Arabidopsis thaliana: one gene and its partner. The protein of the gene in region 1 interacts with the protein of each later gene in a pairwise test. Each region holds a gene or a part of one and is shown in the gene's direction. Other genes may lie near its edges.

Region 1 (5,229 bases):
ACCCTACAATTATGGTTATCGTTGAAAAAAAATAGTGGATAATAAAACAAAGCTATGATAATGGTGATTTTCGGGGAATTTACATAAGATCCAACCAAGATTGACGTCCAAATTAAGTTTGATCAGACACTAGCTAACCAGTCACACTATATTTTACGATGAATTCTATAATAATTTTGAAATTCAATTCAGAAACCCAAATTATCCAGGAACAAAATTGATACAAAGTAACCACTGAACATATATATATTCACTCCAGTTTTTTAGTCTTCGACCATCGTACAATAATACATGTTGCTTATTAGATTTACTATCTTCTTTGGAATATGATTTAAGTTCTTAACTATGTTTCTGCATGTTATACCATATTTGCAACTTTTAAGAAATGACACTAAAATATAAGGATTATCATTTCCACACCACATGTTTCACCATATCACATCCATGGACGTTACGCATTAATTGGAATGGATTATATAATAAAACATCGTAATTATATAGATCCCTCCCGTGAGTCACGACCCTACAAATTATGCATATCAGCATGTGGATAATAAGAGACGACGATGAGAACTTGACGTCGAGACAAGGAAATATCAATTAGTCTCTATGAGACTACACAAAACTGGCATTAACGTCGGATATATATTTGTAGCCATGCAATTGCAAACTTAGGGTTGGTTAGTAGTAAATGTGAAGGGGAATGTTCTCAAATTGGGACCAATTCAATAACTCGAAACGAGCTAATTTGTTCAAATAACGAATAAACAGAGTATGGGCATTGGATGCAAAATATATAATTAATTGGACCGCCTTAGACAGCACTATATTTATTGAATAAAGTTTTAATACATATCGGTAACATCTTAATAAATCTACATATTAAGATGTTACTGTATAAACATTTTAACTAATACACATATGAACAAAACTTGACATTCTTTTTTTCTTTACAGAACAAAACTTAAAAAAACTAATATTAAGCGAAATAATTCATTGCTGATTCGTTTCTAATGGTTCGACAGAATATAACGAAATTAATGTACTACCATATTTGTTTACAATTAGTGGAAGCCGAAAATTATGTCTATACTAATATTTTCTATGTATTTAAATCAAGTATTGTGGTACCACCAGCTGTGAAGAATGTTTTCAACAATATTAATTACTTTGTGACCACCTTACCCAATTCCATTCGATATTAAATAGGAAAAAGAAGTATACCTATTATTATGTTTTGTCTGATATACATACACATAAATACCCAACTAGAGCCAAACAACTCCAATAAATCAACCGTTGAATATGAATAATATGACACCTTTTTATTCATAAATGTGATCCTTTTAAACGTATAAAAATGGAGTAGTTAATAACTTAATAACTTAACTTAATAACATTGGTTCCTTTACACCAAAAAAAACAAACATTTTATTTGGGTCTCAAGAGGTTTATTAATAGTGGCCCATGTATAGACTGTTGCAATTACATTATTTCAGTAGCCCGTAAAGTTCCCTGGGAAGCCCATTTTGAGCCCATGGATAAGAAATTTAATTTAATCCACACAGAAAATTATATAAAGGGTGGGTTGATCAGATAAGTTATTAAGAAATCATCATGATTGTATTGTTTGATTTGTTACCTAATATTGTTTTTGTCACCAATTACATGAATTTTTTGTTGTTGTCAATACATGACTTTTGTTGTTGTCAACACATGACTTTTTCTTTAATCATAAAAAAACTTAAACAACATCACATCATTTAAGCTAGATATATTTTTGTTAATCACTTAATCACCATTAATCTATATATGGATGGGTAGATTCTATTATTTTTAAATCACAAAACCAATTATATAAAAATAAAATAAAAAACCTAAACAAAAGAAACATATGAAATTCCCGGCTCTAAATGACAAAAATACCCTTCTTCTGTAACGTGACGTAATCTAATTGGTTAACAAAACCCCCAAAACCCTAAATCAGTTTGCCCAGATTCACGCATCACACAATCGAGTTTTTAGGGTTTTAGCGGTTGCTCTCTCGGAAGCCAGAGAGAAGAGGGAAGAGGAAGTCTAATTCCTCTGCGTTTTTTGCAATTAGGGTTTTCTCAATTGGAATCGAAAATGGTGACAGACAAGAGCAAGAAGGCGAAAACCGAAGAAGAAAACGTCGAGCAAATCGATGCAGAGCTTGTCCTCTCAATCGAAAAGCTTCAAGAGATCCAAGACGACCTCGAGAAGGTAAATTCCAAAAATTTTTAACAATCCCCATGTTTAAATTTTCTCGTGAATTTTCCTTTAGTCGATGTTCATTTATTGCTTTGATCAATGAGAATTGTTGTGTTGGACTCTCTCTCGATTCAGATTTCTAGTGGACAAATTATAAAGAAAAGTCAGTATCTTTATTAGTAATTATGTTGTTGTTGTGTCTTTCGAGTGAAATGTGGTCGCTTTCAAATTGACTTTGTCAATAAAACTGTTTGAGGATTGAATTGTTGTGTTGAGTCCAATCTCTCAGTGACCTCTCTGGTTTTGGTTTTGATAGATAAATGAAAAGGCTAGTGATGAAGTGTTGGAAGTGGAGCAGAAATATAATGTGATAAGGAAACCTGTTTATGACAAGCGTAACGAGATCATCAAAACCATCCCTGATTTCTGGTTAACTGCTGTAAGCCAGACTCTCTGTTCTGTTTTTTTTTTCAATTCAGAGTTTTAAACAATGTTTTCTCTAATTGGAATTTTGGAAATTTACATTTGTTGTAGTTCTTGAGTCACCCTGCTTTAGGTGAACTTTTGACTGAAGAAGACCAAAAGGTTTGTGTTTTCCTTATTAGATTTTGATTGATTGATTCACAGTTTTCATTCTTTGTCCTGTTGATTCGATATTTCTGTTTTTGAACAGATTTTCAAATATCTTAGCTCTCTTGATGTTGAGGATGCCAAAGATGTGAAATCTGGATACTCTATCACTTTTGTAAGTTTCTTTTGTTATTATGCGACTTTATCATAATTTGATTGATATATCTCTGATTGATCTAAGAAAGCCAAGTTGTTTAGTTTATTCGTTTACTGATTGTTGTTACATTGTGAATTGCAGTCCTTCAATCCCAATCCATTTTTTGAAGATGGAAAACTGACAAAGACTTTTACCTTTCTCGAAGAAGGGACAACCAAAATCACAGCCACGCCTATCAAATGGAAAGAGGGCAAAGTAAAATGGATCTTTATTGCATAAAATAAGTTTATTTCTTAAGCTGTCACTGTTTTTGAGATTATTCTTAACTATATTTCTCAATTATCAAGGGCCTGGCGAATGGAGTGAATCATGAGAAGAATGGAAACAAACGTGCACTACCTGAAGAGAGGTATTTCTCATCTCCCCCATTTCACTGAAACCCATCATAGATCCAAGTTAAAACTCTTGGCACCATTCTTATTAGCCATTACACGTCTAAGGACTCTCTATCTTTTACCTGTCTTTTTTCAGCTTCTTTACCTGGTTTAGTGATGCTCAACACAAGGAGGATGTTGAGGATGAGATGCAAGACGAGGTAATGATCCTATATTTTTTTTATGACTTGATTGTAAGAGTAACTCCATGTATGGCCCAACTTGAACTCGGAAATTCGTCTTGTAGCAGGTTGCAGATATCATCAAGGAAGATTTGTGGCCCAACCCTCTCACCTACTTCAACAATGTAAGCTACTCACCATATCATTTTTCAGTCTTTACTTGGTTTAGAGCGCTTAAGTTGCTTGGAGATTTTGGTAAATTGTTAAATGTAACTTTGTAGGACGCTGATGAAGAGGACTTTGATGGAGACGATGATGGAGATGAAGAGGTAAAAGCCTCATCTTATTTCCTTTGTTTGGTTGAGTTTTCTACTTAAAAATTACTGCATCTATGATATGCTAATTAATGTGCATAATGAGATGAAAGATTAGATAGAGATATCTTAAGACAGAACATTGTGTTATTATTAATGCCTGAAACCATTTAAATTCTGGAGATTCCATTATAAGTTGTGCCTGATAAGTTTTTCAAAACCATATCTGTCTCTAGGAGAAAGAAGGTGACTCTGATGAAGATGATGACGAAGAAGACGAAGTTGGTGAGGAATGATGGCAGGGATACCCAGAAACCACATTTGCTTACATGTCTTCTCTATAACAGAGTGTGTAAAGTTTTGTGTGTTGAAAGGTTTTTAATTTTAAGCAAAAGTGGATTATGACGACAACAGACAAGCTTTTAATTTTATTTTACCGTAATAGTTATATCTTGTTGTAAGAAACCATTTTCAGCCTTTTGTTGGAAAATCCTGCTTAAATGGTTTTTGAGTCTTACATAATAGCTTCTTCATCTTTTGTCTTCTTAAAGAGAATTATATTTGTAATTTCATGTCTGTTGTGTTTCTTTGACTTTACTGAATAGAGAATTTGTGTGTTTATGGTGAAAATATAGCCGATCTGCTTGACAGATGAACGGAGTTTATTTTGTCTGGTGACATGACTCTGTTCTCTTATATCAGGATTTTTGAGAAACCCTTTGGTATCTTTATTGTTTGGTCTGAAGGTATGTATATACTTTTTGTCTTTGATTAACCTAGTAATATGATTACTAACTCCTGTAAGTTCCTCTTTCAGATCACTAGAACAAAGCAAGAAGTTGTAATATCTATTGTATAGTATAAAGATGCTCGAAAAATTTCAGATTCTGGTTAGCTCTAGTTGTACAGAAGAACAAAAAAGTCTCTAAAGACTCAAATGTTTCAGAACGACCTACGCCTATGAGTGTCTAAACCGGTTAAATCCGAACCGAAACGAATGGAAACAGTCTTGAGAAACAAAAGAGTAAAAAACTGATCATAGAATCACCTAGTTTTACTAAAAAGTGGTATTTAATAAAATTGCTCTCTAAACAACTTTATTAATAACCTACAACAAGATTTAATTTCTCATTTCTTAAGAGGCCATTAACTACAAGAATCACCTGAAAAGTATTAACTACTCGCAGCCATTATCTCCAATTAATTGAAACCGTTTTTTTTTTGGTGGGAAATGTATTATTAATTTCTTAACCGTTACTCGCAGCTCCAACTATAAGTTTATAACTATTTTTCGTTAACAATTAAAATATTAATTGGCACCATACGTTACAAGTTAACTGATTACAAATACTAAGGAGTATATAATACTTAGGAAAAACTGTAATTATATGAAATCAACT
Region 2 (5,507 bases), on another chromosome or scaffold:
AAAGAAAATAAAAATGGTGGTGGTGGGTAGGGCCAATAGCCTAATAATAAAAGAAGGTTATGTTTGAGATAATTGTAAGATGCCAGCAAATGTCTGCTCTGTAACTCTTCTAATGCACGTCTCCGGTCGTGTGTGACTCGAGAGGACCCAACCAAATATGCAAAAACATTTAAATAAAAAACATAAACAAATCATTTCAAATTCGAGAGAAAAATAAAAGGGTCTTAAAACTGTTAATTATGCAACAGATAGGCCCATGTAATGTTGAGGTCCATCACATAAGTAAACATTATATTGAAGGCTGATAATTCGGCCCGTTAAAAGTGTTGTTTATAAGAGGTTGTGTGTACTGTGTAGTGTGACATATCAGAGGCGACAAAACATATCATAATCTTTTGTTTTGTTGGAATTCTGGTGTGGTGATCGTCTTTTGTCATCTGCTTACTTGGTGTCTGGTGATTGTGTCTTCTGATCGTCTATTACCAGCCGCACTTTGTTTGACCCTTGCTTGAAAGTATTCGAGCACACGCATGCACACATCACAACACAGATATATTAGTATTAAAAGAATGAGCATACATAAATTGTTGTATGAAAACGACACGACTCAGGTGATACTTGGAGTTTGAATGATGAGCATATATCGGGTTTTACTTGCGCTTAATGCATAAGCATAAACGTACTGTACTCTTTATAATATCGTATTGTAATGTCAGTAATATGTACCAACAATTCTCTTGTTGGATGATTCTTTTTGGGTACCGTGATGTATGGGCTGGCTTTACCAAGGAGATAGGTGTGACACTTGTTCCCCCATAGATTTATCAATTGTTCTTAGTCCCATTGATTTTATTTGAGATTTGCTACTTCAAAATTCAAATGGTGAAATCTATCCAACTACCCTTTTGAATCCACACATATAATACACAAAAGTTCATTAAACAATATTAAAATGTCAAATGAAAAAAAAAGTTCTTCTAAAAAAAAAAAAAAAACATTAACTATATGTAAAACCACTAAATATCTTTAAAATTATCGCTCACTTTGTATCCTTTACATTACCCGTTAAAAATGCTTGTTTGTTATAAATTTTGCATTAAACAATTATAAATTCTAGTTTTTCATATTTTAAATTTTCTTAAATTCATCGTTCACTATTTATCATTTTTATTATAATGTTTAAATAAATAACGCTTCTTTGTACAAAACAAATTAAAATTTGCAATCAATACTTACTAATTGCATGTTTTTCCATATTTTGAAAATTTTAAAACTTATCTTTCATCATTTAATATTTCAATTATTCTTTTAAATATATCACGCTTATTTGTGATACAAGACAAAAGAAAAATGTATTTAGCACTTGGTAAATATATTTTTCCATATTTTATTTTTTTCATAAAGTTATCTTTCATCATCTATAATAAGAGGTTTACATTTATTTGTTATTTTTGTTTTACGTCGTACATTTATATATATATATATAGATATATATATATATATATATCAAATATTTTGTTAAAATGCAACTAAAGTTAAAATTTAATTCAAATGTAAATATCATACATTACTGTTTAAAAATATTTTAATGTCTTGTAATTTTTCCTTAATGAAAAACATATTTGATGTATCATTTTGTGATTAAGTTAAAGGGTCGCAAATAGATATATACTCTAACAAAATTCACAGAAAATATAAATTTGAAACTAAATTTTATGTAAATGTATCGATTTCAAATCCTAAACAGAGGACATAGAAGTTAGTAATTGCATTTGTTTTGCCATACTCATCTCAATACATCTCTTACTTATCATACACTCTTTAATGGAGTTTGTTACATGGGTTACTTAATGTAACAGTGTTTGCTATATACTTCATTCGATGTTATTCTAAAATCAACAAAATTGTTTTACACTGAAAGCGAGGAGTTCTTTTCAGAAAAATAATTTAAAATTTTGGCGGTCCATTTTTAAAATTTTGGTGATTTTTTATTACATTGGAGCGAAAATGTAGCAAAATTCTAAGAGGCAAAAATGAAAAAAATCAAAGTAAAGAAACACAAAATCCTTAAAATAAAAGACAAAATGATATGACACGTCATCGATCCTCGTCAAAACCGTCGATAGAAAACAAATCAACGGTTAGATTTAATAGTAATCTTTCTTCTCATCCTTTCGTCTCTACTCCTCCGCCTCTCTCTCCCCAACCTAACTTTATTTATTTCTCTCACAAAAATTTTATTTTCACAAAAACAAAAAAATCAAAAGAGCTCTCAGAGCAAAAAACAAAAAAAAAGAAAAAAAAACCCTAAATCTAAATCTCACCTTCCACCTCTGTCTTTTTTTTTTTTGTTCTTTTTTTTTTTTTTACTGTATCTTCTCTTCTCTTTGCTCTGCAAAAATCTCACATCCATGGATCCATCTCTTGGTGATCCTCATCATCCTCCTCAGTTCACCCCTTTTCCTCATTTTCCCACCTCCAATCATCATCCTTTAGGACCAAATCCGTACAATAACCATGTCGTCTTCCAACCGCAGCCGCAAACGCAAACGCAAATCCCGCAACCGCAGATGTTTCAGTTATCTCCACATGTTTCAATGCCCCACCCTCCTTACTCCGAAGTAAGTTCAATCTTAAAAGCCTCTTCCTTTATAACTAAATTCAGTTACTTTTTTTTTTGTTACTAATTTTTTTTTTCTGTGTGTAGATGATTTGCGCTGCGATTGCGGCGTTAAACGAACCGGATGGTTCGAGCAAGATGGCAATTTCGAGATACATCGAGAGATGTTACACCGGTTTAACTTCTGCTCATGCTGCTTTGTTGACTCACCATCTCAAGACTTTGAAGACCAGTGGTGTTCTTTCTATGGTTAAGAAATCTTACAAAATTGCTGGTTCTTCTACTCCTCCTGCTAGTGTAGCTGTTGCTGCTGCTGCCGCCGCTCAAGGTCTCGATGTTCCCAGATCTGAGATTCTCCATTCAAGTAACAACGATCCCATGGCTTCTGGCTCTGCTTCTCAGCCTCTGAAACGAGGTCGTGGTCGTCCTCCTAAGCCTAAACCTGAATCTCAACCACAACCACTACAGCAACTTCCACCGACCAATCAAGTCCAGGCTAACGGACAGCCAATCTGGGAACAGCAGCAAGTTCAATCACCTGTTCCGGTTCCGACTCCGGTTACAGAGTCGGCGAAGAGAGGACCTGGTCGTCCAAGGAAGAACGGTTCTGCTGCTCCTGCTACTGCACCAATCGTTCAAGCTTCGGTTATGGCTGGAATTATGAAACGTAGAGGTAGACCACCGGGTCGTCGAGCTGCTGGGAGACAGAGGAAGCCCAAATCCGTTTCTTCTACTGCCTCTGTGTATCCTTATGTTGCTAATGGTGCTAGACGCAGAGGAAGGCCTAGGAGAGTTGTTGACCCTAGCAGTATTGTTAGTGTTGCTCCAGTAGGTGGTGAAAATGTGGCAGCGGTTGCGCCAGGGATGAAGCGTGGACGTGGACGACCACCTAAGATTGGTGGTGTTATCAGTAGGCTTATTATGAAGCCTAAGAGAGGACGAGGACGTCCTGTAGGTAGACCCAGAAAGGTAAATTTTCACATCCCCCAATTCTGTATTCGTGATCTCGATTTTGCAATATCTGACGTTTACTGTGCATGATTGTTCACTGCTCCGCCGTCAATTTAGATTGATAAAGTTTGATACTTGTGTTGCAATCATTGTGGAATTCAAACTCAATGTCACTTTCCGCTTTTGAGCATTGTTGTCTGTTTTCGCGTATCCAAAATCTGACTAGTATCTAGTGTTTTTATTATATTTTCGTGTCCCTTACTTTTGGCTTATCCTTATCTGGTTTCTCTGTTTTATTTTAATTTTCGTTTGGATAATTAAGACCAAAATAGTCGGTAATGTATCGCTATAGCTAGGAATAATTTTATCATCAATTAGTGTGTTAATCCGGCTTAATGGTTTCTAAGTCATCACATAGTGTCTTCTTCTCTGTATCTTCTATTTTACTAGTAACGTGTTCAATTGGATCTAAAGTAAGACTTCTTAATTTAACCATTAATGTCTTTCTTGAATATGTTATACTTTTATCCAACAATTTTATTTTTTGGTTCATGAACCTAGATTGGAACATCAGTCACGACTGGGACACAAGATTCTGGAGAACTCAAGAAGAAGTTTGATATTTTTGTAAGTCTACTTGTTGACAATAAACAGTTTGGCTGTCCTTTATTTGATTAAAGTATTCGATTCTACTTGCTTATGTTTGGTTTTTGTATGTAAATGATTTCAGCAAGAGAAAGTGAAAGAAATTGTGAAGGTGTTGAAGGATGGAGTTACAAGTGAGAATCAAGCAGTGGTGCAAGCCATAAAAGATCTGGAAGCACTAACAGTGACGGAGACCGTTGAGCCACAAGTTATGGAAGAAGTGCAGCCAGAGGAGACTGCAGCACCACAGACTGAAGCTCAACAAACTGAAGCTGCTGAGACACAAGGAGGACAAGAAGAAGGACAAGAAAGAGAAGGAGAAACACAGACCCAGACAGAAGCAGAGGCAATGCAAGAAGCTCTGTTCTGAAGAATAATAATGATCTAGAAAACAACCTAGACATAATAGCCTTGGTGTTTGGCGTTAGGAGTGTTTTTTTTTAGTTGTTTTAGGTGTTGGAATCGCATCTTAAATTATATAAAAATCTATAAGGAATTTTAATTTTTCTAGGTTTTGTTGTCTGCAGAAGAAGAAATAGTAGACTCGTTAATGGTGTTGTTGTCGGTGTGTCTTTAACCAAACCATAAGACGTGGCTGTAAATTAGCGATGTTTCTAGTCTTCCATCTTTAATAATCTCTTATTGCGTCTGTGCCTTTGTTTTTTTCAATCTGTCTTCTGCTCTCTGCTTCCGCTTTGCACATTGTGGAGATGTTTTCGTGTCTATTTTCCACCCAACGGTTTTAGCAGGTCGACTCTTACTTAATTTCTTACTAATAATATCTTCATTTCCATCTCACGTTGGCTCAAAAAGCTATATAACTTTGACTCGAAAACATGTTAGAGTTAACACAACAGTCGAACTCAGAATCGAAATTGCAGTCCAAACGAAGTAAATATAAAATGAAATATATCGATATTCACAGCCCATACGACCGAGGCCTAAAAAAGAGTGAGTCAATGGCCCATTTGACCAGCAACTAAAATGATTGTCCTCTCGGGCCTCTCTCTTTCTCTTCCCTCTAAAACATTTTGATATTCTCTTCGACCAGATCAATTTTTCGGTTAGGGTTCTTCGCCGAACCATTGGCTACTTTGCTAGATCTCTGAAGGTGTAAAAGAGCTATGGAGAATGGGAAAAGAGACAGACAAGACATGGAAGTGAATACCACACCGAGGAAGCCTCGTGTACTACTCGCTGCAAGTGGAAGCGTCGCTGCTATCAAATTCGGCAATCTCTGCCATTGCTTCACCGAATGGGCAGAAGTCAGAGCCGTCGTTACGAAATCATC

Evidence for each region.
Region 2: the proteins of NRP2 (region 1) and HON4 interact in a two-hybrid assay, tested with the Arabidopsis thaliana proteins (one study listed by BioGRID).

Annotation. Positions count from the first base shown.
Region 1 is NC_003070.9:6,480,362-6,485,590, reverse strand, and holds NRP2 (NAP1-related protein 2), read left to right. Parts: upstream 1-1,944; 5' UTR 1,945-2,127; coding exon 2,128-2,244; intron 2,245-2,548; coding exon 2,549-2,671; intron 2,672-2,766; coding exon 2,767-2,817; intron 2,818-2,905; coding exon 2,906-2,977; intron 2,978-3,100; coding exon 3,101-3,214; intron 3,215-3,306; coding exon 3,307-3,368; intron 3,369-3,490; coding exon 3,491-3,554; intron 3,555-3,640; coding exon 3,641-3,700; intron 3,701-3,796; coding exon 3,797-3,844; intron 3,845-4,065; coding exon 4,066-4,125; 3' UTR 4,126-4,478; downstream 4,479-5,229. UniProt on the Arabidopsis thaliana protein: Acts as a histone H2A/H2B chaperone in nucleosome assembly, playing a critical role for the correct expression of genes involved in root proliferation and patterning.
Region 2 is NC_003074.8:6,168,463-6,173,969, reverse strand, and holds HON4 (winged-helix DNA-binding transcription factor family protein), read left to right. Parts: upstream 1-1,964; 5' UTR 1,965-2,411; coding exon 2,412-2,621; intron 2,622-2,707; coding exon 2,708-3,589; coding exon of another isoform or gene 3,590-3,661; exon of another isoform or gene 3,662-4,044; intron 4,045-4,132; coding exon 4,133-4,198; intron 4,199-4,301; coding exon 4,302-4,586; 3' UTR 4,587-5,007; downstream 5,008-5,507. Other genes in the region: HAL3A (HAL3-like protein A), read left to right, coding at 5,341-5,507.